Oryctolagus cuniculus: one gene and its partners. The protein of the gene in region 7 purifies or fractionates together with the protein of the main gene of each other region. This does not show direct contact. Links are inferred from orthologs where the notes say so. Each region holds a gene or a part of one and is shown on either strand. Other genes may lie near its edges. The genes, in order: STAT3, DAXX, TWIST1, RNF182, RPS3, PRMT5 and RELA.

What was found.
Region 1: the proteins of RELA (region 7) and STAT3 purify together in Homo sapiens (affinity purification with western blotting; 5 studies listed by BioGRID and IntAct, with this or other methods). This does not show direct contact. The link is inferred for Oryctolagus cuniculus from reciprocal best matches to the Homo sapiens genes RELA and STAT3.
Region 2: the proteins of RELA (region 7) and DAXX purify together in Homo sapiens (affinity purification with western blotting; 4 studies listed by BioGRID and IntAct, with this or other methods). This does not show direct contact. The link is inferred for Oryctolagus cuniculus from reciprocal best matches to the Homo sapiens genes RELA and DAXX.
Region 3: the proteins of RELA (region 7) and TWIST1 purify together in Homo sapiens (affinity purification with western blotting; 3 studies listed by BioGRID and IntAct, with this or other methods). This does not show direct contact. The link is inferred for Oryctolagus cuniculus from reciprocal best matches to the Homo sapiens genes RELA and TWIST1.
Region 4: the proteins of RELA (region 7) and RNF182 purify together in Homo sapiens (affinity purification with western blotting; 3 studies listed by BioGRID). This does not show direct contact. The link is inferred for Oryctolagus cuniculus from reciprocal best matches to the Homo sapiens genes RELA and RNF182.
Region 5: the proteins of RELA (region 7) and RPS3 purify together in Homo sapiens (co-immunoprecipitation; 5 studies listed by BioGRID and IntAct, with this or other methods). This does not show direct contact. The link is inferred for Oryctolagus cuniculus from reciprocal best matches to the Homo sapiens genes RELA and RPS3.
Region 6: the proteins of RELA (region 7) and PRMT5 purify together in Homo sapiens (affinity purification with western blotting; 3 studies listed by BioGRID). This does not show direct contact. The link is inferred for Oryctolagus cuniculus from reciprocal best matches to the Homo sapiens genes RELA and PRMT5.

What each region holds. Positions count from the first base shown.
Region 1 is NC_091448.1:20,437,440-20,441,563, reverse strand, and holds the start of STAT3 (signal transducer and activator of transcription 3), read right to left. Parts: upstream 2,801-4,124; 5' UTR 2,756-2,800; intron 2,135-2,755; exon of another isoform or gene 2,000-2,134; intron 1,073-1,999; exon of another isoform or gene 902-1,072; intron 753-901; exon of another isoform or gene 695-752; intron 404-694; exon of another isoform or gene 287-403; intron 1-286. UniProt on the Homo sapiens protein: Signal transducer and transcription activator that mediates cellular responses to interleukins, KITLG/SCF, LEP and other growth factors. Once activated, recruits coactivators, such as NCOA1 or MED1, to the promoter region of the target gene.
Region 2 is NC_091436.1:135,803,001-135,807,157, reverse strand, and holds the start of DAXX (death domain-associated protein 6), read right to left. Parts: upstream 2,801-4,157; 5' UTR 2,662-2,800; exon of another isoform or gene 2,544-2,661; intron 2,437-2,543; exon of another isoform or gene 2,303-2,436; intron 2,171-2,302; exon of another isoform or gene 2,034-2,170; intron 1,453-2,033; 5' UTR 1,401-1,452; coding exon 1,194-1,400; intron 1,040-1,193; coding exon 208-1,039; intron 108-207; coding exon 1-107. UniProt on the Homo sapiens protein: Transcription corepressor known to repress transcriptional potential of several sumoylated transcription factors. Down-regulates basal and activated transcription.
Region 3 is NC_091447.1:11,241,645-11,245,825, forward strand, and holds TWIST1 (twist-related protein 1), read right to left. Parts: upstream 2,694-4,181; 5' UTR 2,351-2,693; coding exon 1,724-2,350; 3' UTR 1,681-1,723; intron 1,204-1,680; 3' UTR 501-1,203; downstream 1-500. UniProt on the Homo sapiens protein: Acts as a transcriptional regulator. Inhibits myogenesis by sequestrating E proteins, inhibiting trans-activation by MEF2, and inhibiting DNA-binding by MYOD1 through physical interaction. This interaction probably involves the basic domains of both proteins.
Region 4 is NC_091436.1:156,663,347-156,667,564, reverse strand, and holds the start of RNF182 (E3 ubiquitin-protein ligase RNF182), read left to right. Parts: upstream 1-1,418; 5' UTR 1,419-2,337; coding exon 2,338-3,081; 3' UTR 3,082-4,218. UniProt on the Homo sapiens protein: E3 ubiquitin-protein ligase that mediates the ubiquitination of ATP6V0C and targets it to degradation via the ubiquitin-proteasome pathway.
Region 5 is NC_091432.1:66,517,396-66,521,638, reverse strand, and holds the start of RPS3 (small ribosomal subunit protein uS3), read right to left. Parts: upstream 2,801-4,243; 5' UTR 2,702-2,800; coding exon 2,672-2,701; intron 1,988-2,671; exon of another isoform or gene 1,841-1,987; intron 1,712-1,840; coding exon 1,581-1,711; intron 1,305-1,580; coding exon 1,211-1,304; intron 565-1,210; coding exon 470-564; intron 1-469. UniProt on the Homo sapiens protein: Component of the small ribosomal subunit. The ribosome is a large ribonucleoprotein complex responsible for the synthesis of proteins in the cell. Has endonuclease activity and plays a role in repair of damaged DNA.
Region 6 is NC_091443.1:52,081,908-52,086,149, reverse strand, and holds the start of PRMT5 (protein arginine N-methyltransferase 5), read right to left. Parts: upstream 2,801-4,242; 5' UTR 2,592-2,800; coding exon 2,482-2,591; intron 2,456-2,481; coding exon of another isoform or gene 2,397-2,455; intron 1,847-2,396; coding exon 1,728-1,846; intron 1,415-1,727; coding exon 1,329-1,414; intron 1,161-1,328; coding exon 1,026-1,160; intron 390-1,025; coding exon 277-389; intron 136-276; coding exon 86-135; intron 1-85. UniProt on the Homo sapiens protein: Arginine methyltransferase that can both catalyze the formation of omega-N monomethylarginine (MMA) and symmetrical dimethylarginine (sDMA), with a preference for the formation of MMA.
Region 7 is NC_091432.1:6,038,161-6,042,435, reverse strand, and holds the start of RELA (transcription factor p65), read right to left. Parts: upstream 2,801-4,275; 5' UTR 2,669-2,800; coding exon 2,662-2,668; intron 2,114-2,661; coding exon 2,087-2,113; intron 1,996-2,086; coding exon 1,844-1,995; intron 1,755-1,843; coding exon 1,606-1,754; intron 1,109-1,605; coding exon 1,017-1,108; intron 655-1,016; coding exon 523-654; intron 1-522. UniProt on the Homo sapiens protein: NF-kappa-B is a pleiotropic transcription factor present in almost all cell types and is the endpoint of a series of signal transduction events that are initiated by a vast array of stimuli related to many biological processes such as inflammation, immunity, differentiation, cell growth, tumorigenesis and apoptosis.

The DNA of each region.
Region 1 (4,124 bases), on a different chromosome or scaffold from region 7:
TGAGACTCAAACCAGTTCCCATTCGGGATGCCGGCACTGAAGGCAGCAGGTTTACCGGCAATGCCTCAGGACTGGCCCCTCAAAATATTTATTTTAAAACAAGATTTATTGAAGTCAGAAACCTCCGGATGCAGCAGCCAAGAGGGGGGCTCCAAGAGAGGCAGACCCCCCTCCCAGAAATTTTTAAATGAAAAATCTCCCCCTCCTGCCTCATTCAGTCTTCCCCAAGGATAGCTGTTCTTAATTTTTGGTGAGAAAAAAAATCAGTGTCTCTTAACCTTTGAAGGGGAGTGGATCTCAGAGTTTGGTGGAGAATACGGATTCCAGCCCCAGAAATACTCAGCAATTCACATGGTTCCCCCAAGACTCCAGGTTCAGACTTCTGGTGCGCCCTTAAATCCAAGTGAGAGGTGAGGGAACCCATAAGGCAACCGTCAGTGTCGGGGTGCTGGGACAGCTGTCTCGGGGTGTCCTGTAGATCCCGGAAGTGTGGGATTGCCTGTTTGTAAACAGAGTGCATGTACGGGTCATGGATCACTCTTTATCTTCACCATGGCCACCTCCCCTAAAGTCCATCCCAGCTGTGTGGCCCCTTGCAGTTCACGGCCTCCCTGGTGGCAGAGGGTCTGATATTTGCTCAGTGATTTACTGCTTGGAAGGTGCTCACACACTCTCCTCTCCTTTCTCACAACAGGTCACCTTCATCGCTGACAACGAGGGCCCAATCCCAGCGATACCCGGAGGTGCACCAGGTGGGTCAGAGCCACAGCTTTGTTCCATCCTGGTAAGCTGTGACCCCTGACCCCTCAGGAGCGTTCACTCCCCTCACTGCCCTCGCCACCGTTCTCCCCTGAAATCTACCTCTGAGCCTGCCTGATAAAGGGACAAAAACCCTCTGCAGCCTCCGACTGACCCCAATCCCCACCGGCTGAACGCTGCAGCTTCTCCCTCTTGAGCCGAAGCCTGGCCGCTTCCCTACTGTCTCCTTACTCCATCCCGATCTCCCCTTGGCTACCAGGAGCATCATCCTAAAAGTTATATGAATAAATACTCAGCCCTGTCGCCATCTGCCTCAAAATCTCTTCTGTTCTCCGTGATCCATAGGGTAAAAATCCAAGTTCCTTCAAAAAAAAGCACCAACCTCCTAACTCAGTGCCAGGCATGCGGCAGGAGCTGGGCTGATGCCCCTTGTCCTCTCGATTCGACTCCTAAATCCTGTATTCTCACCTGAAGCCCTTTGTCCAGGCTCATCCCACACCACCTGAACTCCCGCCCTGCCCTGATCACCTTCCCCAGGGCGTGCCAGCACCACCCGCCACTTCAGCCCCTGTGGGTTTTCTTCCCTCCCACCATGTCTCTTCCATTTCCTCGCTCCCTCGCTGAAAACTCTCTCATTCTTGAAGGCGCGGTTCCAGCATCGCCGCCTCTGGGCTTTCCCGGTGCTCCCAGGCAGTCTGCCTCTCGGCTGCCGTCAGCAGGTGTTTCCCCACCTTGAACTGCAATGTATCCATTTACTAGCCCACTTCCTTATAAATGAAATAATTAACCTTTATTAATCACTATGTTCTAGGAACTGTACTGAGCATTTTACGCAGAGATTGTCATTTGATCAAGGACATAGGCGTTCTAATTCTCATTTTATGACTGTGGAAACTAAGGCTTAGAAAGAAAAGGCCTGGGGCTGGCCTTTGGCCGCACAGTGAACACATGTGCCTCCCATATCAGAATGCCCGCCTTCCACGCTCAGCTGCACTCCTGATTCTAATAACCTGCGAATGCAGGCCCTGGGAGGCAGCAGGTGATGGCTCAAACAGCTGGATCCCTGCCAGCCTTTGGGAGACCTGGGTTGAATAACTTGGCTCCCAGCTTCAGCTGGCCCTGTCCTGGCTATTTCAGGCATTTGGGGGGTAACCAGCAGATGGAAGGTCTCTGTTCCTACCCCATCACTCTGCCTTTCTTTCCTTTTTTTTTTTTTTTTTTTTTTTTTTAAACACTGCAGGGCCAGTGCTGTGGCATAGAAGGTTAAGCCTCCACCTGCAGTGCCGGCATCCACAGGTTTGAGTCCCAGCTGCTCCACTTCTGATCCCGCTCCCTGCTAATGTGCCTGGGAAAGCAGCAGAGGATGGCCCAAGTGCTTGGGCCCCTGCACTCATGTGAGAGACCAGGATGAAGCTCCTGGCTCTCAGTTTCAGCCTGGCCCAGACCTGACTGTTGTAGACACTTGGGGAATGAACTGGTGATGGAAGATCTCTCTCTCTCTCTCTCTCTCCCCCTCCTTCTCTGTATTTCTGCCTTCCAAATAAACAAATTAAAAATTAAAAAAAAGGCGCGGTTGGGGTGGGCTTTAGGGCACTGAAGGTTAAGCTGTGGCTTGCGACACCCACATCCCGTATTGTAGCATCTGGGATCAAGTCCTGCCTCTGCTTCCCATGGAAGCTTCCATGGCTTCTGTGCACCTGAGGAGGCAGCAGGTGGTCACTCAAGCACTTGGGTCTCTGCCACCCACATGAGAGACCCAGATGGAGTTCCAGGTTCCTGACCTTGGCCTGACCCAGCCTCGACTATTGCTGGCATCTGGGGAGTGAACCAGCAGACGGAAGATCGCTCTATGTGTGTGTGTCTTTGTGTTGCTCTGCCTTTCAAATAAACAAAACACAAAAACGTGGCATGGCAGAGAAGGCCTCTGGGCTGATAGGTGGGTGGTGAGGCATGGTGGTGACCAAAGGTGACAACATACAGGCAAGGGGTCCTTCACGGGGCTCAGCAACAGGGCTGCCTGGCTCCTCTCACTGACAGCACCGGGAAGAGCAGGGACTTGCTCCGCAGGCATCCTCTTGCAAGCCTCTCTCTTTCTCCCCAGCTGATCAACAGCCCTCCCTCTTCACTGTTGGCAAGGCTGTGTCATTCCCTACTGCCTAAGCAGCATTCACACCATGCCATTCTGTTCCTCCGGGGCTTCCCAGGGAGCTTAGGGGAAGGGGTTTTCCTTTATCTCATCCCTGCAAGGCCCTCCCTGCTGCCTACTGAATTCCAGCCAGGCCACGTCCCAGCCCTTGGTCTTGGCATGTGCCAGCTCCCTCTCTCCACCTGGCTTTGGCACAGCTACTTCCGCCTCACCACTCCCATCTTACTCAGTCTTCCTCTAACCACTCCTGCCTAGAGTTGGTCCCAACTTGTTCATCACTATCTCTCTGTCCAGTTTCCTGGACTCTTATCACAACTCTCATTTTATTTATCTGTTTACAGAGTTTGTTATCTCCCTCCTTACACTGTTAGTTGCACTGGATCTTGGCTCTTTGGTGATCTCTTGTGCGGAGCACATAATAGCTGCTCAGTAAGTAGTGAATAAGTGGAAGTGTTCTGTGTCCCACTTCTGCCTCTGAGCTTTATCAATTCTCTCCTCCCTCCGTCTCTGAAGACACTTCCTCTTTTCTGTCTTGACCCTAGTATTTCCTCAGTTACCCCTCCACTTCTCATCACTGCCCCCACATCTCTACTTGCTCGCCCTAGGTGGCTTCTGCCAGCCCCTGACCAGAGGACAGTGGTCGTGAAGGCCACCAGGGGCCTCCTCCTGACCAGAGTGGACATGCTCTCGTTTCCCGTAGCTTTGCTGTAGAAGCTGATACTGGGCAGCGTCCTAGCCACTCTCTCCCCTTGGCCATCACCGCAGGCAACAGACGCAGTCACATTCACGTGAAAGCTCCCGGGAACTGAAGTGAGACACCCCAAGTTTGAATCCAGGTTCTGGTCCAGGATCAGCTGTGCAGCCTTGGGAGAGTTCCCTAACCTCTCTGAGCCTTGGCATCCTGATCTAACTAGAGAGCATAATTCCGACTTGGTAATTTTGTATTCAAATGTTCTTGCTTGGAAGATACCCTCAAGGTGACTGCGCAGCCTGGTGGATGAGAGCCAGGTCCTGACTCAGTCTACTTCCCAGCCGCTCTGCCCACTGGGCGGTGTGACCCTAGGCTACTTCCTGAACCTCTCTGGATCTGTTTCCTCATCTATGACATAGGAAGAGGAAAGTACCTACACCATAGGTTGTCATTACCTTTTTTTTTTTTTTTAAGGATTTTTATTTATTTGTTTATGTAAAAGGCAGAGTTACAGAGACAGAGGGGGAG
Region 2 (4,157 bases), on a different chromosome or scaffold from region 7:
CATCATTGCGTATTTGGAGATGACCTCGTCTAGGCGGCTCAAGGCCAAGGTCCGGTTTTCCCGAAGGCGCCGGGCCAAGGCAGGATCTGACAGTGCAGGGTCAATGCCTACATGGGAAGATATGACAGCAGAGCACTCAGCCCACACCCTGGCAGAGAGGGCGAGCGGTCCCCTCTGCCTCCGACGGGCACCCCGCTAACCCGCTACCTGGCCTGTAGTCATCCGTGAGGTGGCAGCCGAAGTTGTAGATGAGGTCGAGATGGCGTCGCTCCTGTAGCCTGACGCCCACATCTCGGAAGGCGTCCTGGGCCATGAGCTGGAGCTGCTGGCGCGGGAGGCCGAGGCTGTGCCGGACAGCTGCCTTCTCTACGGCCCGCAGCACATCACCGTAGTCGGGGAAGGTGTCGGGGCCTGGCTTGTTGATGAGCCGCTCGATGCGCCTGTTGACCTCTGGGTAGCGGGTGCCGCGGTAGGGGATGCGCTGCTCTATGACCCGGCCGGTCAGCGAAGAGCAGTCTTTCAGCTCGCACAGTCGCCCAAAGAGGCGGATCAGCTTCCGCTTCAAGCGCGACTCCTGCAGGTACGTGGAGTCTGGGTCATCCAGTTCTGACAGATCCAGCTCCTTCTCCTGCAGCCTCCGGATCTCCGCCACGTACAGTGCCAGCAGCTGCTCTAGGCGCTGGATCTGCCGGCGGGAGCCACGGGTCCTTGGGGCCTCGGAGACAGCGGCCTCAGCATTGCCGGGCTCCGAGGCCGGGTCTGCAGAAGTATTACTCCCAGAGGGCTCACTGGAGGCGGTGGCAGCAGGAGCGAAGTTCAGCTTCTTCTTGGCTGAGTGGGCCTTGAGAACGGTGCAGAGCTCGTTGATGTAGACGTAGAGCTTGGCGGGCCGGCTCCGGGCCCGGGACAGGACCCGAGAGAGGATGTTGCAGAACTCGGCTGAGGCCAAAAACACAGAGTGGGCACGCTGCTGCCGACTGGAGAGGAACGGGACCACCTCAGGGTGGTCCGCTGTCTGCGTCTTACACAGTTCAAGGAACTGGAGGGTTCGGGGGAAGAAGAGAGCGGACAAGAGACAAGGGAGGGGGTTGAGAGAGAGAAGGGGGGGTGCAGTTAGTGGGGGAGAGAGGACCAGAGAGCCAGTGCGCCATCCCCCTCCCTGGGGTATAAGAATCTTCTCCCCTAAAGCTCACCTCTTCAAACAGCTTCTCATTCTCCAACTTGTAGCATTTCTTGCCGCCAGAACTACTGCTTCCTCCGGCCCCATGGGGCTCAGAGGAGCCAGGGGCTTCTGCCTGGGGTGAGGCCGGAGTGGGGGGTGGGTGGGAGGGCCCTGGCTGAGCGACTGCTTCATCTTCGTCATCATCATCCAGCACAATGATGCTGTTAGCGGTGGCCATGAGGGATCAAATCCCCCGGAGGGAGGAAGTGTTGGGGGTTTCAGAATTCCTGCTGGAAGGGGATGGGGCCTCAGAAAGAGCCCCTCCAGCATAGCCCCTCCCTTCAGCTCAGTTTCCAATCTCCGTGGGTTTCAGCAACACCCAGCCCTGCCCAACAGTGTCCTCACTGCCTGTCTTCTGCAACCATTAGCTCTGGATGCCTTCCCGGGCCCTTCAAGTGGCCCAGGACAGGGAACCGCAAACATTCAATCGCCACACCCAGCTCTACCTCTCACATTGGCTTCCGGTCTTTCTGTTCCATCTCCCCACTATTTCTCATAGTTGTCAAGTTGGTTCTTCCAACCCCAGTCCCGCTTCCCAGATTCCCATGACACCCTCACACACGGAAAACACACTCGCTCTGGCTGCCTCACGTCTGGCCCCTTTCACCCCGAAACATGTCAAACCCATACCCCACCCTTAATGATCACCCCAACTCCTAGACAATCCAACAGTCCTCTCAACGATCCATTCTCCTTTCCCCTCCTGCTATTAACTCCGTATTTCACCCTCTGATGGGCTTCTTCAAACCAGGGCACTGGGTTGGAGTATGACACCTCAAGAGCCCTCCCTCTCACCCCACCCTGATTTTACCTGGTCGCTCTCTGTGACTTGTAACCGATCGTGAGACCTACAGTGGGCTCTCCCGATTCTTCTCGGATCCCACCCTTGAGTCGCGCCGGCAGGGTAGATGAGCTTCCCGCCAAGTCCCCCTCCCCCAGGTCAGACCCCTAGCCGCCCCACTTCCCTTCAGGAATAAGGTACCAGAGCATGCCTCTCAGACTCAGAGCCCGCGTCTCCCCAGTACCGCCTCCTCGATATCCCCTCCCCCGTTTTCGCTCCCCACACAGTCCGGCCCGCACCTCAGAAACGGTCTCACGAGACGACCCTCGCCGCTGATCTCAGAACCTCGCATGGTTCCCTCCGCCTTCCTTCCCCCTCCCACCGCAGGCCCCACTACAGACCGGAAGCCGCGGAGTTTCCGCCTACACGCGTATAAGCGCGGCCATATTGTCGTACGGAGCCCAGCCTTCCTGCTTCCGGAAGGCCCCACCGAGCGTGCCTAGTACCGCCCACCTAGCCCGCGACTCCCTTCCCCCTGACCTGTAGGGGGCGGGGCCTGCCCCTTCAGGGCGTCCCGAAGTTGCTGGGGGCCGCCATTTTGTTGTACGGCCCCAGCTCTGCAGTGACTTGGGCCCTCAGCCGGCGGAGCTATTTTCACCTGGTGCTTCTGGGACTCCGCCAATCAGAAACTTCCTGCCTCGAGCCCAACCGCCAGCTAGTCGCGTGCCGAGACCACTGAGCCACCTTTCCCAGGGGTGGGAGGGGGGCAGTGGAATAGGCTGGCTGAAGAACTGGGGTCGCCAAGGCTGTGCATGGCTTCAGGAAAGGGCAGGCGTGTCTAAACGGGGAAATAAAACCTTTTCCTTCCGCTGGGCAATTAGTGAGGCTTCCGGTCCTGCTTTCCTATCTCCCAGGTACCGGTTTCCACCGCTTAATGGGCTTTGCGCCCCTCGCCGCTGCCCGGCCGCCGCTTCCACTTCCAGGTGCTACGTCCCCGGCCGGGAAATGTCGACGCATGCGTACAAACGAGCACCGCGCTCCCTGAAGGTGGTGGTGGTGGTATTACTATCGCTACGTTGTTGTTGACTGGCTTTCCGAGCTCCGCCTCAGAACTAATCAGCGTCCAAGCCGGCGGGACCCGAGCGGCGCTGCGCTGTTCTCCGAGTGGGGCCTGGACGCTGCGGCGGCATCGGCCCCTCGAGGCTCTGTCGTGGGGTCCGGGGGCTGGGGGGAGCAGCTGGGCGATGGCCCCCGCGCGTGCGGGGAGACGCGGTGGTCTCCTGCTCCTCAGGGAGAGCCGAGGACAGAGTGAGGAAGGAGCCGGAGGAGACGCCTCGCGTGGGGGAGGCCGGGCCGCGTCCCGAGGCGCGCTTGCGGGGACAGCGCGAAGCCCACGCGCGGGTGGTGGCCTCCTGCCTCAGGCCCGCGGCCTTGCATCCCTGACGCTTCCTTTGAGAATCCCTGTCACTTCTCGCCAGTCGTCCAGGCCTACAGCCTTCAAATTGAGCAACAAAACTCGCCAAGACCACTGGGTCTTGACAAAGAGGATTTAAGTTTCAGATCCTCAGCTTTCCCAAAATTGGGCTCCCAGAGCGAGCGCCTGCGGTAGAGGTTCTCCCTCTTCCTTCCCCTTCACAATGGACTTTCTCCATCTTATAATAATTCACAGCCGTGAAGTTGCCTGGGTCTCTTACCTGGCTGAAGTCAAAAGACACGTGGTCTATTTCAGCGATGCACCATGAACACAATCTTCTAGCTTATTAAAAATTCGTAATGCAAAAATTTGCACAATCTTTGTGCTGCTTGATAAATTCGTTTTTCATAATTGTAACGATAAATATTTTTAACAAAGAGTCAAAATCGCAAGAAAGACTTTTTTATTTAAAAAAATGTTTTTTATTTGACAGGTAGAGTTAGAGACAGAGAGAAAGGTCTTCCTTACGTTGGTTCACCCCCCAAATGGCCACTACGGCTGGCGCTGTGCCGATCCGAAGCCAGGAGCCAGGTGCTTCCTCCTGGTCTCCCATGCGGGTGCAGGGCCCAGGCACTTGGGCCATCCTCCACTGCCTTCCCGGGCCACAGCAGAGAGCTGTACTGGAAGAGGAGCAACCGGGACTAGAACCCGGCGCCCATATGGGATGCCGGCGCCGCAGG
Region 3 (4,181 bases), on a different chromosome or scaffold from region 7:
TTCGTCAAACAGGAGGGACATAAACTCTTTCCTGAATTAAACTCTGCTCTGGTGCGTGCACTTGTATCCATTAATGTGGTAGGATCATCAGCCCATCATTTTATCCTATTATTTACCAATCCTCACAATGAGTGGAGGCCAGGACCAAAATACACAGGAACAGGAGAAAATCCTGCTGGCTCCATGCTTGCTTGTCTATGTTAGCCGGTTACCACCCCGAATACAAGATAGGAAGAGCCAGTTGGTGGAAGTTTTGATATTTGGGACTTGACAAGGGATGAAGAGATGCTACTGAGCCCGCCGAACAGCAAACTGGAGTAATAATAAAGCTGTCTTTTTAAATACCACGCCTGTGCCTGTCAGTAGCTGGTTTATTTGAGTTTTTCACTGCTTTGTTTATCTTAGTGCTTGGTGCCTCCTGGGTGCCTCCATAGTTAAACAAGCAGGTATTCACCACCAACTTACTCCTGAGCTTTAAAAATATAGAGCAAACTCTAAGGTTCTTAAAATTTTCAATCATATTTATTTATTGCAGAAAAATAATATACAAAGATATTTACAAAACAATCATAAAAATAGGAATGCATTTAGACACCGGATCTATTTGCATTTTTACCATGGGTCATCAATAAATAAATAGAATGTTGTTTTTTGTATTTTAAGTTTTTTTTTTTTTCCCTCAGAGGAAGAACGAAAAACGGAATTAACTGACTATGGTTTCTGCAGGCCAGTTTGATCCCAGTATTTTTTTTTTTTTTTATTTCTAAAGGTGTTCTTAAAATTCCTCTGATCGTTACCATTTTAAAATAGAGAAAAGTCCGTGATGATGCCTTTCCTTTCAGTGGCTGATTGGCACGACCTCTTGAGAATGCATGCATGAAAAAAATAAAAATAAAAACATTCTTCGTCAAAAAAAAAAAGCCCCAAAAAACAAAAACAAAACAGAAACACAAAGGAACACAAACAACTGTTCAGACTTCTATCAGAATGTAGAGGATGGTGCCGCTGCGCATCTGGCCATCACTGTCCACGGGCCTGTCTCGCTTTCTCTCTTAAAAGTGCGCCCCACGCCCTGTGTCTTTGAATTTGGGTTCTGCTCTTCTAATCTCCAAGACAATCTTTGGCATAGATATTTATTATTTAGTTATCCAGCTCCAGAGTCTCTAGACTGTCCATTCTCTCCTCCTCTGGACACAAGGACATCTGAAAAAGCCCAGAGCAGGGGAGGAAAGTCGATTAACCGGCGGGGGTCCCCGCGGCTGCGGGCTGGCGACCGGCTCGCACGGCCGCCCGCACCGCCGCCGAGCGCCGCGCCGCGCGGCCGGGAAGGATTTCAGCCCCAGGGCGAGAGGAAGTGGGTGGGCGGAAAGAGGGAGGAGGTGGAATCTGGAAACATTTGTTTTAAGGAGGAGAACGAAATCTTCCAGCCGAAAGGAGGAAAGAGGGGCGCGGGCGGAACTGAGTTTCACCCGCGACGCTCCGGGCTTTCGCGGTCTCCCCGCGCGCGCGCTCGCGCACAACCCCCACCCACCCACTCCCCGGCCCGGGCGCGGGAAGCGGGGCGGGGCGGGGGGTGGAGGTGGCGAGGGGAGCGTTAGCCGGGCGGCCGGCGAGGCGCACCGGGGGCCGCGGTCGGCCGCGCGCGCAGCGGCGAAGGGGCGCACAGGCGCCGCTCCTTACCTAGGGCTCCGGGCCCTGCCGAGGGGGTGGGGAGCTCCGCCTGCTAGTGGGACGCGGACATGGACCAGGCCCCCTCCATCCTCCAGACCGAGAAGGCGTAGCTGAGCCGCTCGTGGGCCACGTAGCTGCAGCTTGCCATCTTGGAGTCCAGCTCGTCGCTCTGCAGGACCTGGTACAGGAAGTCGATGTACCTGGCGGCCAGCTTGAGCGTCTGGATCTTGCTCAGCTTGTCCGAGGGCAGCGTGGGGATGATCTTCCGCAGCGCGGCGAACGCCTCGTTCAGCGACTGCGTGCGCTGGCGCTCCCGCACATTGGCCATGACCCGCTGCGTCTGCAGCTCCTCGTACGACTGCGGGCTCCCGCCGCCGCTGCTGCTGCCGCCACCGCCGCCGCCCGCGCCGCCACCACCGCCGCCGCCGCCACCGCCGCAGCCCGCAGACTTCTTGCCGCGCTTGCCCTGCGCCGGGCTGCCGGGCTCATCGCCGGCTGCGACGCCCCCGCCCGCGGCCCCGCCGGGCCCCGCGCCGCCGCCCGCGCTGCGCCGGCTGCTGCGCCGCTTGCGCCCCCCGCGCTTGCCGCTCGGCGGCTGCTGCCGGTCCGGCTCCTCCTCGCTGTTGCTCAGGCTGTCGTCGGCCGGCGAGACTGGCGAGCTGGACACGTCCTGCATCATCTCTCGGGCGGCGGCGCGCGGCCTCGCGGGCCCCGGGGGCAGAGGAGCAGAGCCGGGCTCTTCAGCCCGCCAGCTTCCCCCAGCGCGCGGCGCCGGCCGGGGCGGTGCGGCCCGGCGAGGAGCTGAGCGGGAGGACCTCCGCGGGAAGGGCGCGCGCGGGGGGGAGGCGGGCAGGAGGCGGGCGGGGGAGGGGACGGTGTGGATGGCCCCGAGGTCCAAAAAGACGGCGCCCAGCGGCCGCACGCACACCCGGCCGGGCCTCCTGGAAAGCGGGCCGGTGCTGGCGAGCCCGCGAGGTGTCTGGGAGATGGGCGCAGGCTGCGGGCTTGGAGGCTCTTATACCTCCGTGCGGGCGGAAAGTTTGGGGGCAGCAGTGTCATTGGCCTGACGTGGGGAGGAGGGACTTTTCCAGGTTTCATAGCAAAGTTTCCGCTCTCCAGCCCCCACCCCCGGCCCGGCCCCCCGCCCGCCTCCTCCTCCTCCTCTCCTCCTCCTCTCCACCACCTCCTCCTCCTCTTCCTCCTCGGGGTCTAACAATTCGTCCTCCCAAACCATTCAAAAACGACCCGGCCCCGGCTGCCGGCCGCTGCGCCCGCCTCCTCGCCTCCCTCCCGCTAGCCTCGCGGGCGGACGCGGGGCGGTTTCCTTCCGCGCCGCAGCGCGCGGGTGGCGCGCCCCGCACCCGAGCGCGGCGCCGGGAAGCGGCCAAGGGGACCGTCCCGTCCGCCGTGGCAGCTCCGCCCGGACGGCGGCGGTGACAGCAGAGGCAGCGGCTTCGACGCAGTGGATAGATGCCTCGTCTCGCCCCAGTGCCCGCCTGCTAGGTCCACGGGGCCTGTTGGGGGGAATCTCAGTAGCGGTGGGTGGGGGCGGGGAGCGGCCCGCAAACTGTCAACCGCGGAGAACCCCACCTCCCACCCCTTCAGCGGCCAGGTGGCCGACCCCGGTGCTGTCTCCAGGGCCGCGGCTCAGAGGTCGTGGGCGTTTGTGGAGACGTGGCCGCGCCGCGCCTTGGAGGCTGTGCGCTGCGCCCCGGGCCTGCGCCAGCACCCGGCCCCGAGCAGCGTCGGGGCACTCTTCCGTTCTCCACACTGTCCCAACCTCAAACTGCCCTGTGCCTAACGGACTGCGCCTGCGAGGGTGCTGAAAGGGGCCCAAGTGCGCGCCCTGCCCGAGGCGAATGGAAGCAGGGCCGGAGGGAGCCAGCGCAGCGCCGCCCGCCCAAGGGGGGAGGATCCTGTGGCCCCTTGATTACCACCTTGCCCCGGACTTGGATTCCCGCACGGTGACCCCGAGAGGTCAGCCTCTAAGAGGTGGGGAGTCTCCGGAGCCTGGGCACGGGGGCCCGTGCGCTGCGAGGGCCTTGCCCCCCAGCCCCCTTCCTTGGCGGTCCAGCGGGTGGGGATGGTCCCAGCGCCCCTGCAGTTACTCGGACACGTTTGCATTTGAAGCATTTCCACCCAAGACTTCAGAACGAAGGGTCCCCCGAAGGAGGGTGTGAAGGCAGCGGCTGGCACCCTGGAAGCCAGCAAACCCGTGGGCGGGAGTGGAAGCGGCGGGGGAGGAGAAGCCCATCCTGGCCCTGCTGCGTTGGTTTCTTTCTTTTTGGAACGAGTTGGGGGCGAAACAACCGCTTCGTGGACATCTCTTTAACGTTAGCCGCCAAGCCAACCAGAGGTCACAGGCGCGGCGGGAGTCTGCGTGGGCCAGCAGGGTTTGGGGGCGCGGGCTTGCGTACCGGGAGGCGAGGTCCGCGCAGGGGGCTCCCCTGACTGGCTCGTCTCGCCAGCGAGAACCCGGCACTCGGCCAGCAGCCTCCTTCCCCGGCCCG
Region 4 (4,218 bases), on a different chromosome or scaffold from region 7:
GATAAACTCTGTTTTTAAAAATCTTACCTATTTTTTTTTTTTTTGGCTCATCTCCAGAGATTCCATTGATTGACTTCCTTTTGCCACCAACTATATGTCTTGCCACGGATTTCCATTGTACATTGTATAGAATAGGCAGTTAATTTAAAAATTAAAGTCATAAATAAAAAGGAAGCTACTCTGTATTGACAAGTCAGCTACTCGTGATTTTTAAAACTGCCCAAGTTTAGCTCCTCACTGCCTCATGTCTGCTAATGCAGCATGATCCATAGCAAATTTAAATTCCAGCACAGTTGCTTTCTGTTTCTCAGAGCTGTTGTGACAGCCTTCTGCTTAGGGTGTGCTCAGAAATTCAAATACATTTTGGTATTTTTTTAAAGCAAAGCATAACTTAAGACAAATCTGCTACCAAAAATATCATGTTTATTAAAGCTAAGTGAGTGATTTGGAGCGTCCCCATATTGCTGCTCCCTTCCGTTAGTACTGTTAATTGAGAACTGAGTGTGCATGTGAAGTCCAACCTTCCACCATTTGTCCAAAGCCAGTAAGATAATACTGCTAATAGTAAGAGGACTGTCAATTGTATTGTGCTTTGTGTTTGCTATAGGAAGAGAGCTTACATGAAATACTCATAGAGGAGCCAGCATTGTGGTGTAGTAGGTTAACCTAGCCTCGTGCAGTGCCAGCATCCCATGCTGGAGCACTGCTCGGAATCCTGATTGTTGCTCCACTGCCTGTCCAGCTCCGTGCTAATGCACCTGGGAAAGCAGGGGAGGATGACCCAAGTACTCAGGTTCCTGCTGCCCATGTAGAGCCCTGGATGGAGTCCCAGGCTCCTGACTTCAGCCTGTTCCAGCCCTAACTCTTCCAACCTTTTGGGGGATGAACTAGCAGATAGTCTCTGTCTCTGTCTCTCTCTCACTCTGCCTTCCAAATAAGTAAGTATAAATAAATAAATCTTGAAGCAAAAAGAAATACTCATAGAGTAGGTGAGGAGGTGATGTGTATTTCTTGGTAGCCATGCCTGTCTGAGGATAGAACTGTGCTTCTGTTGTCTGTGTTTATTTTTCTTTTGTAGGAATTAGACTTGACTTCCTAATAATGCTTATTTGGGTGTTATATACTTCTTTCTTCCTTGAGTAAATGACTATGTACAACTATGTTTACAAGACTGGTATTGAAACCAAGAATTTGAAGTTGAAGTCAAAACAGTAAAGTCATTTGTGTAATTGATGTGTTTACACTGAGAAGGTGAGAGCAGCCTGCTTTGCTTAAATAGCCTCTCACCTCTATCCAAGCACCCTCAGAAAACACATTGTTAGCATTTTCCCTTGAGATTTCTTTCTTTTTTTTTTTTTTTAAAAAAGATGTATTTATTTATTTCAAAGTCAGTAAGAGAGAGAGAGAGAGAGACAGTGAGACAGGTCTTCCATCTGCTGTTTCACTTCCCAAAGGGCTGCAATGACCAGGGCTGGGCCAGGCTAAAGCCAGGAACCCAGGAGCTCCTCTGGGTCTCCCACATGGGTGGCAGGGCCCCAAGCACTTGGGCCATCTTCCCCTGCTTTCCCAGACACACTAATTGGCAGGTGAATTGGAAGTGGAGCAGCCCGAACTTAAACCAGCACCCATATGGGATGCTGACATCACAGACTCCACCATGCCAGTCCTGAGATGTCTTTCTTTTTTGTGCCCTTAAGCAGTGTCGAGGGCATTTGGACAACTGGTACACCAGCAGTGCTGTGACTCAGTCTGTTATTTCTGATGCATGTCCCGTTCTCTTCCAGAGAGGCCAGGGTCGATTACAACTTGCAGAGTGAACATCTCCCACATCCAGACAGTGCACTGAAGTCCCCAGCTCTGAAGCAGGTGCCCTGCCGTGCACTTGCACCCATTAGGACTCTCACTTCTTTTGTCACCAGCATGCTTGTGCAGTGAAACGGCCAAGCCCACAGAGCACACCCTCCCGACCAGGGGACGGCAATGTGTGAAAAGATGGAGGGGATTTAGCCTTTGCTGTCTGTCATTGCTTTGAATCCGTGAAGCTCGGGAAATCCCATGAAAGTCTTTTCAGGAACACCTTTTCCGAGACCTGCTCACTCTATTAGAATCTCTTTGTTTTCTTTGCAGACCCTCCATGTGCCCAGTTAAAATCTGCATTTGAGACAGAGAGTTCTACGCAAGAAGCTGAAATGCCCAGTGATTTCTGGCTCCTCTCCCCATTTCCTGAGCCTTCCTGCCTCTCTGCCTGATTCACATGATAGGCTGTTCAGAGGGACCCCTTAACCGAAGGCGTTCCTCAAGCAGAGGCATCTAGGGGGTTTGCATCCGGGATCCGAGATGGCCAGCCAGCCGCCCGAGGACACTGCGGAGTCTCAGGTGTCGGACGAGCTGGAGTGCAAGATCTGTTACAACCGCTACAATCTCAAACAGAGGAAACCCAAAGTGCTGGGCTGCTGTCACAGGGTCTGTGCCAAATGCCTCTACAAGATCATCGACTTCGGGGACTCCCCACAAGGGGTCATCGTCTGCCCCTTCTGCAGGTTTGAGACCTGCCTGCCGGATGATGAAGTGAGCAGCCTGCCAGACGACAATAACATCCTTGTGAACTTGACTTGTGGAGGCAGAGGGAAGAAGTGCCTGCCAGAGAACTCCACTGAGCTGCTGCTGACGCCCAAGAGGCTGGCCTCTCTGGTCAGCCCCTCGCACACGTCCTCCAACTGCCTGGTCATAACCATCATGGAGGTGCAGAGAGAGAGCTCCCCGTCCCTGAGCTCCACGCCCGTGGTGGAGTTCTACAGGCCCGCGAGTTTCGACTCTGTCACCACTGTGTCGCACAACTGGACTGTGTGGAACTGCACATCACTGCTATTCCAGACATGCATCCGGGTGCTGGTGTGGCTGCTGGGCTTACTGTACTTCAGCTCCCTGCCTCTGGGGATCTACCTACTGGTGTCCAAGAAAGTCACTCTGGGAGTGGTCTTTGTCAGCCTGGTCCCTTCGAGCCTGGTCATTCTCATGGTGTATGGCTTCTGCCAGTGCGTGTGCCATGAATTTCTAGACTGCATGGCACCTCCTTCTTAACTGATATGCAAGATCCAGAAACTTGACACATGCTGCTGAGTTTGAAGCTAGGGAGTTCATGATTTAGTCTCTCTTCCGTTCTTTACGTTTTGTGCCCCAGGACCTTTGACAAAGCCCTGGAGCCCATGTTGGTGGTCTGTGTCCCATCAGAATGTTGGCTTGATTGCCTTTCCTGTATGCTGGGGGTAAAAATGTTCACTTGTATGCAGGGGTTAGCAGAGAGGCAAAACAATGCAGAGCAGCCTAGAGCAAGGGCAGTGTTTCCAGACAGACGTGGGGTGGGGAGCCGTGCTGTGGGAGACGTTAGGGATGGGTCCATGCCTCATTTCACCCGGGGCGGGGGGGGGGGGCGCTTGTCTCCTATGGCAGGTGCACAGGAGAGGAAAGCTGCTCCGTGCTCCTGCTGGGAGAGCCCCCTTGAGGCAGCTTCAAGTGTTTTCTGGGCCCCTGTTGCTGTGTGTGGGCTCTGCGTCTCTCGTGGAGACACCTGTTCCCTCCCGTGCCAACAGGAAACTCAGCCTGTTCCCTGGGGTGGTTTCAGCTGAGTACCTGTTTTTCCACATTGCTAAAGAGAGGGAAGAGCACCAAGGAACTGGCCTCACCGTCCACTGTACTGCACAGATGGCCGCTTGTCTTGGAGACACACGGCTGCTTCCATGTTGGTTTTTCCTCTTCCTCTGACTTCTCACAAGAAGTGAGCAGAACGAAGTTCCCATAGAACAGTTTTTGTTCATGGAACTCTTCTTCGAGCATTTCCTTGAACAGTTTGGTTTAGTTTTTTTCTTTTGGAACCACATTGCTGAGTAAGCCCGCTCCTCACCCCAGATGAGGTTCCATTTACATTAGCAGCTCTGAGTTCGGGAGTATTTTGTCTTTTTTTTTTCCCCCATCACGTTTTAAAGTCAATGAGGACTTGGTTAACTGAATCCCATCACAGTTTGGGGGGGGGGGGGCGCTGGCAGTGAGGGCCCAGAAACAGTGAATGAGCTGCTCAGGTTCACGGTTCCAAGCGCTGGGCACCTGTGTGTTGCTGGAAGGGTTAGGGTTGTGTGCAAGACCGTGTGTTGTGGTTGTAGTCTGGACACCAATGGGCCCCTGGCCTGCGTTACCCTTCCAGAGGGGCAGAGTGCAGCTCAG
Region 5 (4,243 bases), about 60 Mb from region 7:
GCATAGCCCACCACATTAAGTATCTGGATTTTAAGCTCTCTCATCAGGACTGCTTTCGCGTTTATGGTGCCAATAAGAGTGAAAATCTCAACCGATCAAGTGTCTTCTATCTTGTTCTGACTTTCGGGGCACCCCACAAATTACCAGTAACAGGCTGACTTGCCCACCTCCCAGAAGACACTTAAATCTCATCCAGAGACCAAGGAGAATTGGTCCCCTCCCTGAGCACCTGTTTCTGCTCTCTTCCCAAGCACCTAGAACACCTGTCCACCTTTTCTCATTTTTCTTCTTCAGTCTTCTTAGCCTGCAGCCAGCAAAGGCATGGATTAACAGTACTGTGTTGCTGGAACCCTCAGAGGCTAGCAGAAGCTGTCACTCAACACAAGTTCATTTGTGAAACCAGCAAAGAGCACACACCACATTCTGATGCACACAGAAGGGCATGACCACCAGGCGGCACGACACTTACCTGCGTACAGCAAGCCCTCCTAGGAGTTTGTAACGCAGAGACTCTGCCTGGGCAATGGCACATAGGCCCCTCGTGGCCACCTTTTCAGCGTAAAGCTTTAAAGGAAGCAAAGCACACCCTGTTACCTTCACCCTTGTTTTCAATTCAAAGTCAGCACACTCATTTCTTTCCCCACACCATCACAGGAGGGTACCTCAAAGGGTTTGTGGAAAACGGAACTCAAAGCTAAGTTTATTTCAGTGCAATGTACGTATGACCAAGTCTTCAAAGAGCTCAGGAACAAGAATCATGAAAAAAGCCAGATTTCAAATTTTGGAGGGGCATTAAAATAAGTATCTCTTAATTCCATTCTTCCATAAACCTTTTACATTTTATCACAATAGTATCCCTCAAGTCCAAAAGCACTCCTGCCCACACCCAGGACAGACACAAGCAGACCAAGCCTCACTGCCCCACCTCTGGCTCCTCCTACAGCTACACCAGGGAGACCAATGGCACAGTGCATCCACTTTGTGTCACCTGCACATTCAGGTGGTGTGTAACATCATCATCCACCAGAAATGAGCACACAGGGCTGTAAAACCAAACCCACTGCCCACTGAGAACCTCAACCAATGCCAATCCCACCATAACACTCACTGAGCCTGAGCAGGTCTCCATGGTGAATAAGGGATTTCAGAAGCACCACTCTAAAGAGCCATTGACGTCCACTTAACCTCTGGCATGAGCCAGACCACTCACCTCTACGCTGCCCTCTGGGAAGCCAAACCTCTTCTGAACGACGGCAGTCAGTTCCCGGATTCGCCGGCCTTTCTCACCGAGCACATTCTGTGTCCTGGGCAAGAAAGAGACCACTGATGACGCGCCCAAGATCCTACATGAACTGTGAATTGTGCCTATTATGCATGGTACTAAAGCCCCACTTATCTGCCACAACACAAATACAAATTCTACATGACAGAAATTATTGTTCAATTTTTAAAATGCCGCTTTAAACAATCACATTCACTAACGCCAAATTCACTTGACCGTACCCTTAAAATTTATACAGAGTGATTTCCTTAGTGTATACAACTAGAGATCACTACCCTCCAGTCAAGTGATACTTTACCTGGTGGCTAAAATAATGATTTCTGTCCTGGTTGGTGTAACTCGGACCTCAACTCCAGAGTAGCCATCTTCAGCCAGCTCCCGGGTGAGAAACTCGTTCAGCTCAGCTTTGAAGATGCCGTCAGCAACAAACTAACCAAAAAAGCAAGTTCAGAATTAAAGGAGGGGCTGGCTCACTTCCCTCTGGACCAGTCTAGTCTATCAGACGCCAAGACATCCTTCATCAGAACTCAGTACCTGTGCCAACAGGGATGCTGCAACCCTTCTCAGACAAATGCCTCTTGGTCATCTTGGGGCTGTTGCTTCCACCAGGGCCCTTTCCAGGGTGCCACAGAACGCAGCACGGCGGAAGACCCCCGGGGAGAGCCAGCACCCCCGGTCAGACTCGTCATCACCTCTTCACCGAAGGGCCTCAGATCCTCCACTTCGCGCAGCAGGCACACTGTTCTACCTTGTCACAGGAGCAGGCGTGGGTCAGAGCGGTCTCACCTGCACCCAGCCAGGCACCCTGCCTTACCTTGTGTACCTGTGGGCTTACAGACAGCGGAGCTGCCAACCCTAGCTGCTGCGGAATTTTAACAACGATGTACACACGCAGAATGGCAAACTATGGATGCCTAAAGCTAGCGATTTTGACACGACATGACTTCGAAGTTAAACCCGAGGGAGCTTCCTGCCCCAACGGGACAAGTGAGACCTGTACTGTCGGAAGGCGGCACCCAGGCACCCGTACGGCGGGCAAGACGACGCTGCTCTCTGCCCTTCCCAAAGCCATGGGTCAAGAAGCGAGAGAAACGGCTCACGCCCCTCAAACTACTACACAGTCACTAGATTTGTTGACCAAGACAGGCTCCCCGGAACAGGTGGGGCGCCCCAGGCTCACCGCTGCACTCTTTCCAGCCGGCCACCCAGCGGCCGCCCGCCTCGGGCCTCGCATTCAATCCGCCGCCATCCGCGGCCCGCGGCCACACCACGCACTCTATGCCACTGCCCAAGGACGGGAATGGAGCTCGGCGTCTCGCGGAGGCGACCCGAGAAGTCCCCGACCCGCGCAGCACCGCAGTTCCCTAGATCCCAGCTCCAGATGCTCACCTTCCTCTTCTTAGAAATCTGCACCGCCATCTTGCCGCCGCGCGCAGCCGAAAGGAAAGGAAGTGGCTCGCGGACGGAAATGGGTATAAACGGCTCGGCGCGACGTCGAAAAGCGGCGCGACGTCGACGCCTGCGGGCGCTCATGGGAAATGTAGTTTTAATGCAAAAAGGCCGCAAAGGAGCGAGAAGAGCGAAGGAGTTACCTGTAGTAAGAAACAGGAACTGCAAGGGGACTTAGAGTCCCTTTCTCTAGTTTTGAAAAGGACGGAGAGGCTCAGAGTTTCAGCAAGAGTTTAGGCAGCGTGGAACCCTGGTTCCCACACTTTCAGGTCGATACTAACGAGTATCTACGAGAGCTCCCATTCTCCCCAGTCTCTGTCCATTTCCTCCCTTCCCAATGATAATACCTACTACGTGTTAACGTCCTAGGAACTATTCTGTGCTCTTTATGCACCACTTGCATAAAAGCTGTTACAACCTATAGCAGACTCAGGGTTCTGGCTCACGTGCGCACAATTCTACATTTAACTTCGGCACTAAAATAACTCTGATGCAAATGACTGGTCCTTTCATCATGAGATTATAATAAAGTGGAGTTCCGTGGGAGCTAAGCAGAGGGCCAGGGAAGGGAAAAGAAGTGGATGGGGGCAGGCATTTTAGCCTAGACCCTAAGTCGTACACATCCCACATGGGAGTGGCTCGATTTGATACCTGGCTCCAGGTTCCTGCTGATGAAGACTCTGGGAGGCAGCAGCCATGGTTCCAATGACTGGTTCCGTCCACCCACCTGGGAGAGCCGGATTGAGTCCCCAGCTCCTGGCTTTGGCAGGCCCAGGCATTTGGAGAATGAACTGGTGGATAGGAGCCCTCTCAGTGTCTGTCTGTCTGTCTCTCTCTCTCTCTCTGAGAGACAAACACACTCATAAAGAAAAAGAGGATGAACCAAAGACACAGCTGGGACCCCGACATGTCTTAATGATGGATTGAGGTTGAGGGGGGAAATTGAGGTGGTGCCTGGTTTCTGGCTTCCACGGTGGCCGCCTCGTGACAGCCCTCACTGAGACAAGGAGCTGGAGAGCAGGGTTCTTCCTCATCGGCTCCATGGTCTGCTGAACGCGGCCCTGGTCAGTCCCCCCGCCTGACTTCTCTAGGGACATGGGCAAGCAGCAGGGCACCCGCCCGTGAGTGCAGGGTCAGAGGAAAGTCCCCGGGGCCCACTGCAGTCAGGCTCCTGTCCTTCTAGATGACCTGCTTTGCGCCCTCATCCCCGTGGGCCTCTCCTCCTCCCAGTGTCCACTCTGATCTGCGTCAGAGCTTGAACCCCACTCGCAGGAGTCCCCCCGCCCCGCCTCACCCCTTGACCATACAAATGATACTGGCAAGAGCTGCTCCCTCCCACTCCTCCCTGTGTCCCGCATGTTCCTGGCCATCCTTCCCCACCTCCTTCCCCGCGTAGGAAGGGGCTGGCATTGTGGCATAGCGGGTAAAGCCGCCACACGGGTGCCAGTTGGTGTTCTGGCTGCTGCACTTCCAATCCAGCTCCCTGCTGATTGCCGGGAAGAAGCAGCAGAA
Region 6 (4,242 bases), on a different chromosome or scaffold from region 7:
GCTTGCTCACTATGGACAAAACTGCTGAGTGCTGTGCACAGACGCCACAGGAAGGACACTTATCCCAGGACCCTTGTAGACTCACCTACTGCAATCCTCTTGCTATAGTCACACAAAGTTCGGAAGTTGTGCCACCTGCCCAGAGTTGGATACAGAAAAACACACATATGTGTGGCCCACCAATCACCACAGCTCAAGGAGACTTCCCGACAGGCTCTACCCGTACTTCCCTTCACCCTGCCCCTTGCTCTGGAGTAGTAGCAAAAGGAGACATACCACATCCACGTCTTCTCCTCCCCACTGTACTCCTCTGAGTGTGGAGCTGGTGCATTCTCAATTATATCATCTCTCAGGTCCTCCGGTGCCACCAAGGGCACACGCATCCAGAACTGCACATCAACAGGTGCCCTTTTAGAACTCGCTCTTGAACTCATTGGGTCCAATAACCATCTCACAATTAAAAAGACCTTGATCCAGATCTCAAATTAACCCCTTTAGATGGTTTTCCCAATTTGTGATTTTGTACATGTATCCTGTATATATCCTTAAGCAAATATCTGCCTTGTGGGGCCAACAATGTGCTGTAGCTGGCTAAGCCTCTGTCTAAGGTGCTGGCATTCCATATGGGCACAGATTCTAGTCCCAGCCATTCCTCTTCCGACCCAGCTCTCTGCTATGGCCTGGGAAAGCAGTAGAAGAGGGCCCGAGTGCTTGAGAGACCTGGAAGAAGCTCCTGGCTCTTGGCTTTGGATCAGCCTAGCTGCGGCCATTTGGAGAGTGAACCAGCAGATGGAAGATATTTCTCTCTGTAACTCTACCTCCCTTAAAAAAAAAATCTGCCTTGTGTTTCAATTGTAAAGTTTCAAGAAATAATGAGATATTGTGAAACTGTCTGTTAGCAGGGGAGTGAGCAATAATTTCCATTCTGCCAAATTCCCGCTTCACTGACTGGCAGGCCCAAGAAGCTCCCGCACAGAGCCTGACTACCATGATATGCAGTGGGAAAAAGAGACCCTCGACCATACCATGGAGGAGTGGTGGCCAGTGTGGATGTGGTTGGTCAAAACTCTGGCCAGGTTTGTGTTATCTTCCTGATTAAGGGGCAGCAGGAAAGCCGGAAGACCCAGATACGCCCCAAAATTCAGCTCCTGTAACATGGCCTGGAATGGAGAACGGGAGGAAAATGTTAAGAGCTAACCTCCAAATAGCTTTCATTGCATTCTGTTAGTTGATTTTGTAACTGATGGAAGGGAAAAACGCTCTCCCACCCAGCTCGGGTACAGAGGTCATCTTTAGAACGCTCCAGGAGAGGTCAAACACTGTCTTACCGCCTCCGAGTTCCTGCGGATCTTCTCCACTCTCGAGTCTGGACGGATCCATGGAGAGAGCTTTCCCACAATTAGCGTATTCCAGTCTGCACTCCCCCACCCGGGAAAGACAAAAACTGAATGAGGTTCAGTACTGTACTGGTTCAATTTCTAGTTCTTGGTAGGGAACAGAAAATAGAGATGAGAGACAAAGGCATTTTCCACCACAGACATGGGATAGTCTGATGCAGAATAGGCAACTAAGGCTTTTAGCAAATAAGCAAGGAGAAAACGAGAATTCCCTAGATCCCAGGGGCTATCCAATATATCCAAGTCAGAAAAGGAGGAGAACGAGGGCTCTGATAAAGCAGAGGTTGTTACTGCTGCTAACAATTAAGGGGCATATGGGATGGTCCCTACCCCTTCCTGACAGCAGTAGGTCTGATCGTGTCTGGGGGCCCGGCCGATTCTTAGCAGGTTCCTGAGTGAACTCCCTCTTGAACCGCGGGTGGAAGACAGGCATGCAGAGGAAATCAAACCTACAACCGCGACAGACCCAGAATCATCATGTAAAGAGAGCCAAGCACTGCACTTAGGCTACCTCAACTGCGCACAGCCCTTTCAGATGCCACCAGTCACCGCGCTGGCTCCTGGTTGCAGCCCATCCTGGGACATACCACTTCCCTGCACCGTGCCTCAATTTCTCCCCCAAAACACAGGCAGGGAAAAGATGAGTAAGGGAAAACGACGGAAATCCACGCCAAGTAGCATTCTCTCTACTCTGGGGTCACTGGCTTTCCAGGACTGTGATGTTCAGAGCTGCCCCAGGGCTACCTACACCTACCCTCCCTGCACATGAACCTCCTCTCGCCTTTGCCCCCAACACTTCCCCCTACTCCCGCATACTCATTTTACCCCCGGAGCCCTAGGGGATTGGCTGTATGCCCCCTTTTTGTATCCCCGACAACTCCCCCGACTTCTGGACTAAGAGGCCACACGACTCCCCTAACTTTCCACCCGCCGGGCCGAAGCTGCTCCTCTCAGGAGTAATGGGGTTTCTCACGCCCTCGTCCCATCCGGCCCCTTCACCCCTGCCTCTCGGGGATGACTAGCCTGCCCTTTTCCGTCCTCGAGTTCGGACCCTGCATTCCGCCCGCGAAGGTCTGGCCCTCACCCCTGCTTGGCCACAGCCCCCAGTGTGTCAGCTATTTCGGGGACGCAATTGAGGTCCCTCCCGCTGGACACGCGGCTCCCACCGGCAGCCCCGACCGCCATCGCCGCCATCTTTCCCTCGCGCTCTCCACGCCGGGATTCCTTGATATTAGCAACCAATCACACGCTGAACCAGGCCCCGAGAAGGCGGGACGAGTCGCCTTAACAACCAGAGCGTCCTCCACAGCTCCGGAGCAAGAGACGGAGGGGTGGAGAGTGACTCTTCCCGCCAATCCGCGGGCTGCACCGTGACGTACGGCGTGGCTCCTGCAGATCTACCAATCTCAGGGTCTGGTTCGTGACGAACCCGAATCTCCCAGAATGCTTTGTGCAGCCGCCGAATGCCGCCGAGGGACTACACGTCCCATGAAACCCTGCATTGTAAGCTTGAAGAATCATTACAGAGCCCAGCGCGATTGTCTCAGGGCCAGTGGCGCAATGGATAACGCGTCTGACTACGGATCAGAAGATTCCAGGTTCGACTCCTGGCTGGCTCGTTGGGACTGGTACTCCTTTATTGCATCACCTTCCCCAGAAATTGTGGTTTCCGTTTTCCTTCCTTCACTGTTGAAAGCTTTACTTCTTTCCACCCTCTCACTTTTCAGGTCCCAAGTTACTTGGGTCCTACAGCCATCTTTACTTAACCTTTTCCGTCACCTCTTTCAAATGTGTTCCTTGTGTCATTGCTTAGACCCAACTAAACTGGGTTAATGGCTGGGGTTCTGTTTAAACAAGATTTGTCCCCTTACTATGTTAACCTTTTTAAATAGATTGTGATAACTGACAGTGTTTAATAGTGCTTGTGTCTCAAACACAAAAAGGTGTAAATCAACACCTAAGCGCACACTCACAGCCCCTCGAGGTAGAGAAAACCAATTCTTAGTGAGAGATTGCAGTGGACGGGAATCATGGAAATGCATTTTCCCTTTACAGGAGAGAGACGGGAAAAAAGAAAGGAATGAAGCAAGGAAAGACGGAGAGAGGGAAATGGAGACCCCTGAAGGCAGGGAGCCCACAGGTTCAGCACTGAGGGCTGGAGAGGTGATCGCAGCACGAGAACCCTACGCAGGGGGCGTTAACAGAATTTGGGGTCCGCTTGTTAGGCGGGTGATAGCCCAGGGTTCTGTCAGTCCTTGCGGTTCGTAGAGAATCGGGGTTTGGGTCTGGACGTGCTGAAGTGGATGTCTAGGGGGCGCTGTGTAACAGAGCTGGGTGAACCGTGGTCTGAACCGAATAGGATCTGGAGCCCGCCGGAAGAACGGTAGCTAACGAAGCCCTGAGAGTGATGAGCTGACCGTAGCCGGTGCGGATCAGAGGCCTGGGAAACCCGGAAAGGGAGCAGGAGGGGATGAGCCCCACGAGTCCTGGGTGCGACTTAAGTGCCCCCAACGGATGAGAGTCAGAAAAGCAAAGCGCCAAGAAAATGCACCATGAAGCCTGAAGGGGTTGGAGATGCTGTGTCTTCTATTATTATTGTTATTATTACCAGACTTTTTGTGTACTTCTGGATCCCATATTACATTTAATTGTCACATCTCTCTAGATTCCTCTTGGCTGTAGCAGTTTCTCAGCTGTTTCTTGTCTCTGATGATCTTGATAGTTTGATGGTATTGGCCAGATAGACTATACAATGCTCCTCTACTGGAATCTGATGTTATGGGTTTGGGGAGGTCATGGAGGCCGAATATCATTTCCTCATTTCATCAAGGGCACATACTATCCT
Region 7 (4,275 bases):
GCGAGCCACGCTGACCCGGGCAGTCTCCCGGGCCCCATCGTACCCACCTTGGCCACGCGCCCGTCCCTCCTGACCCTGCTTCCTGCCCCCAGGGTTCCCGCGCTGCTCTATTTTTATTCATCCTGCTCATTATTTAATTAAAAACTGCAACTGATGATGCCGCCCAGTCCCTCTGCAAGCTTCCCGGGCTGTCATCAGGGAATCGTCACCGCCCAGGACACCTCGCTCTCGTAATGTCCACTTCCCACAGTCCGTGGTGTAGGTGGGGGCATGCCACTCTCTCGCCACGTGATCCGGAAAACGCCCACTTCCTATCAGACCCCCGCCAGCCCCGAAGCCACACCCTCTAGAGCAAGGACGGCTCTGGGTCTGTCCCTGCCTGTCTGCAGCCAGCAGGGCTGGGCACGGGAGATGACACACGGATGCCGGACGACGGGCAGAAGCTCGCCGCAGCCCAGCCCACCAGCCTTCCTGCCGCCCAGGCCCACCCCGGCCCCTGCCCGTGACCCCCGAGCCACTCACGGTTGTCAAAGATGGGATGGGAGAGGACAGGCTGCAGGCGTAGGGGCCTGCCTGCTGGGTCCCGCACTGTCACCTGGAAGCAGAGCCTCACGGCGTTCAGGTCGTAGTCCCCACGCTGCTCTTCTATGGGCACTGTCACAACGGACGGGCGGACGGGCAGGTGTCACACGGGGCGGGGAGGGCCGGCCGCTCTGGCCTGGGGGCTGGCGAAGGGTGCCACAGCGCCGGACAAAGGCCTGCACTGGGACCCCGCAGTCCTGTCCCCTGCCGGGACGTGGTGTCCGGCTGCGGCGTCTTGGCCAGGAGGCCTGGGGTGGGGGCCGGGTGGGGGCGGAGGCTGGGGGGGCGGGGCGGCAGCTGGGGGGGACGGGGGCTGGGGGCGGGGGCGGAGGCCTGGGGCTGGGGCGGAGGCTGGGGGCGGGGGCGGAGGCTGGGGGCGGGGCGGGCAGCTGGGGGCGGGGGCGGGGGCGGGGCGGGCAGCTGGGGGGCCTCACCTTGGAAGGGGTTGTTGTTCGTCTGGATGCGCTGACTGATGGCCTGCTCCAGGTCGCGCTTCTTCACACACTGGATCCCCAGGTTCTGGAAGCTGAGCCCCTCCCCGTCAGAGCGCGGACCCTCCCGCGGTGCCCCGTCTGCACCTCCCCATCCGCCCCGGTCCTGGCTGCAGCGGCTGCAGCGGCTCCCCTGCGCTGCAACACCACCGCTCCTGTCGACGGCCTCCCGCCCTCAGGCCCTGACCTCGGCACCTCTCCCTTCGCCCCGGGATGCTTCCGGGCTTCTCCGATCAGCCTCACCATTCAAGGCCTAGCTGACAGAGGCCACCCCGGGCCTCCCGCCCCCAGGCCACGAGACCAGCACCCCTCCCTCGGCCGGGCTCTCTCCCAGCCTGGAAGTCACGGCTGACACCACGTGCACCGTTTATCTGCACGACCTACAGCCTGTCCGCGGGTGCGCGCTCGGGGGAACCGCAGGTTCGCTGGCAGCCACAGGGTCAGGGCCCCAGCCCGTCCCCCAGGAGTCCCACTCCCAGAAAGGAGGAGCGCAGGAGAGAGCAGTCCGCCCAGCGCGGCCCCGGGCGCTCACCTGTGGATGCAGCGGTCCGGGCAGAGCTCGGCCTCGTAGAAGCCGTCCCGGCAGTCTTTGCCGACCAGCTCGTGCGGGTGAGGCCGGTGAGGGGGGTCCTTGGTGACCAGGGAGATGCGCACCGTCCCGGGTCCCGTGTAGCCATTGATCTGTGCAAAGTACAGCGCGTGCTGGGGGCAGGGCCGGCTCGGCGGCCCCTCCCCCGCGCCCGGCCCGCCACAGGGGGAGCAGGACTGACCTTGATGGTGGGGTGGGTCTTGGTGGTGTCCGTGCTCCGCTCGCCGGGGATGCTGCCCGCCGAGCGGCCCTCGCACTTGTAGCGGAAGCGCATGCCCCGCTGCTTGGGCTGCTCGATGATCTCCACGAAGGGGCCCGAGGCCTGGGCTGGCTCTGCGGGGGCCGGGGGTCCCATCAGGGGCTGCCCCCAGCCCCCCAGCCCCCGGAGCCCCTCCCCGCCACCGAGCAGGGCCGGCCCACTTACCCGAGGGGAAGATGAGGGGGAACAGGTCTGAAAGGGGAGGAGGTAAGGGTCAGCACAAGCCCAGGTCCCCTCCACCCCCCGCCCCAGGGAAACTGAGTCAGGACCTGCTCCGTGGGGGGTACAGGAGCCAGAAACACCTGTTTCCTAAGGGCAAACGGGGTCTGGACCCCCGGCTGTGCTGAGGGAACCCGAGTCAGGGCCCGGCCCACTGTCCTCGGAGGAGCTGTGGGAGGGCGCCCCCCACCCCCCAGCCCCCACCCGAGAGGAAACTGACTCACACCCTCTCCCATAACAACTCCATCAGGGCTGCCCCAGAGGCCATGCGACGGACTCGCCTCAAAGCTCACCCCGCACCCCCACCCCGGGAGGGCCCCCGGTCAAGGCCCCCTCCACGCGGAGGGGAAACTGAGTCAGACCCCCGCCGCCCGCCCCGCCCCGCGCCACCGGCCGGCCGGACCGCTCCCTGGCGCAGCAGCGCCCGCGGCGCAGGAAGCGGCGGAAGGCGGCCCGGGGGTCCCGCCACAGCCCCCGCGGCCCCGGCGCGGCCTCCCCGCCGGCTCCCGGGGCGCCCTCACCGTCCATGGCCGGGGTCCCGGGGGCGGGGCCGGGGTCGCAGCTGGGCCCGCGGCGCGCGCTACAGGGGAGCCATTCGCCAGAGGCGGAAATGCGCCGCGCGCGCCCGTCGCCGCGTCACTGCCCGGAACCCGGCCGCGCCTGCGCGCTGTGCCTGTGCCGCCGCCGCCGCCGCCGCCCCGCGCGGGGGTCCGGGCAGGTGCGCGCCGCGCCGGGGCGAGCCCGCGGGGGCCGGGGGCAGACGCCGGCCGCTCCGGACACCGACGCTCACCCGCCCGCCCGCCCGGAGGCGGCTCCCGGGGCGGCTCCGCTCGCCCCCGCGTCCCAGCCCCGCCTGGAGGGCGGGCCTGCCGATTACTCACTTTGTTTTTAGGGGATTTCGGGGGCCCCCTCCCGCGGGTCGGAGGAGCTTGGTGATGTCACCCGGGCCGGGCTGGAGCGCGGCCAGAGCGGCTGGGCGGCGGCCGCCCGCCCCGCGCGCGGAGAGCCGGCGGCTTCACCCCGCACGCGTCTCGGCGCGGGGGGCGCGCGGGGTGCGGGGCGCGCCCGACGTCCCCGCCGGCCACTGCCCGCAGCGGGCGAGCCGGGCCCTCGGCCGCGCCAGCCCCGGCCCGCGGGCGGCCCATCGGAGACGAGTGCGGGAGGCGCCCGGATCGGCCCCGCAGCCTCCTCTCTGCACCCTGGCGCGCTCGCCTGCCCACGCCCGGGACCCCCAGGGGCCGCCCGAACCCGCAGGGTCCCGCCCCCCGCGAGAGTGCCCGGGGCCTCCCGCCGCGGCCCTGCGGGCGGGGGGCGGGCCTGGGGCTGGCACAGACCCTCTCCTGGGGTGAGGCTGCGCGCGGCTTCCCCAAAGCGGGGTGCGGGGGAGACTTTGTGTGTGTGTGTATCTTCTCCGAACTCGCACTAAATTAGGAAACCATGTGGGAATTGGAAAAGATTGGAAATTCTGACTTGCTTTCCCAGGCTCTGAAAAAACAGGAAGAGAAAAGTGAAAGAGAGCGAGCACCCCGCCCACCCGCCGGTGTCTCCGGCGCAGTCCGCTTCCCGGCCGCGGGGGCTGCGCGTGCGCCGTCCACTCCGAATAATCAGCGTTTTATTTCCTTGAAAGGCAGAGCGGCCTCCCGCCCCTGCATCACGGCCCAGACGCCGGCCAGCAGCCGGGGAGCTGCGCCAGCTGAGGCCAGGGGCGGGGGTCTCGGGCGGGGGTCTCAGACGGGCGCCGCCCGAGCGGCAGGGACCCCGAGTCTTGGCTGCTGCCCCGGCTGCCCGCCAGGGTCTGCCTTAGCAGGAAGCGGGAAGGGGGAGCCCAGCCGCGACTCCGCAATGGGGTGTGCACGATGCAAGCAACATTGTTTTTTGTTTGTTTGTTTTTTAAGATTTATTTGTTTGAAAAGCAGAGAGAGATAGGTCTCCCATGCGGGTGCAGGGGCCCAAGGACCTGGACCATCCTCCACTGCCCTCCCAGGCCACAGCAGAGAGCTGGACCGGAAGTGGAGCAGCCGGGACTCGAACCGGCGGCCTTACCCGCTATGCTACAGTGCTGGCCCACAACATATCACGTTTAAAAAGGTATTAAGGCCGGCATCCTATATGGGCGCTGGTTTGAGTCCCGGCTG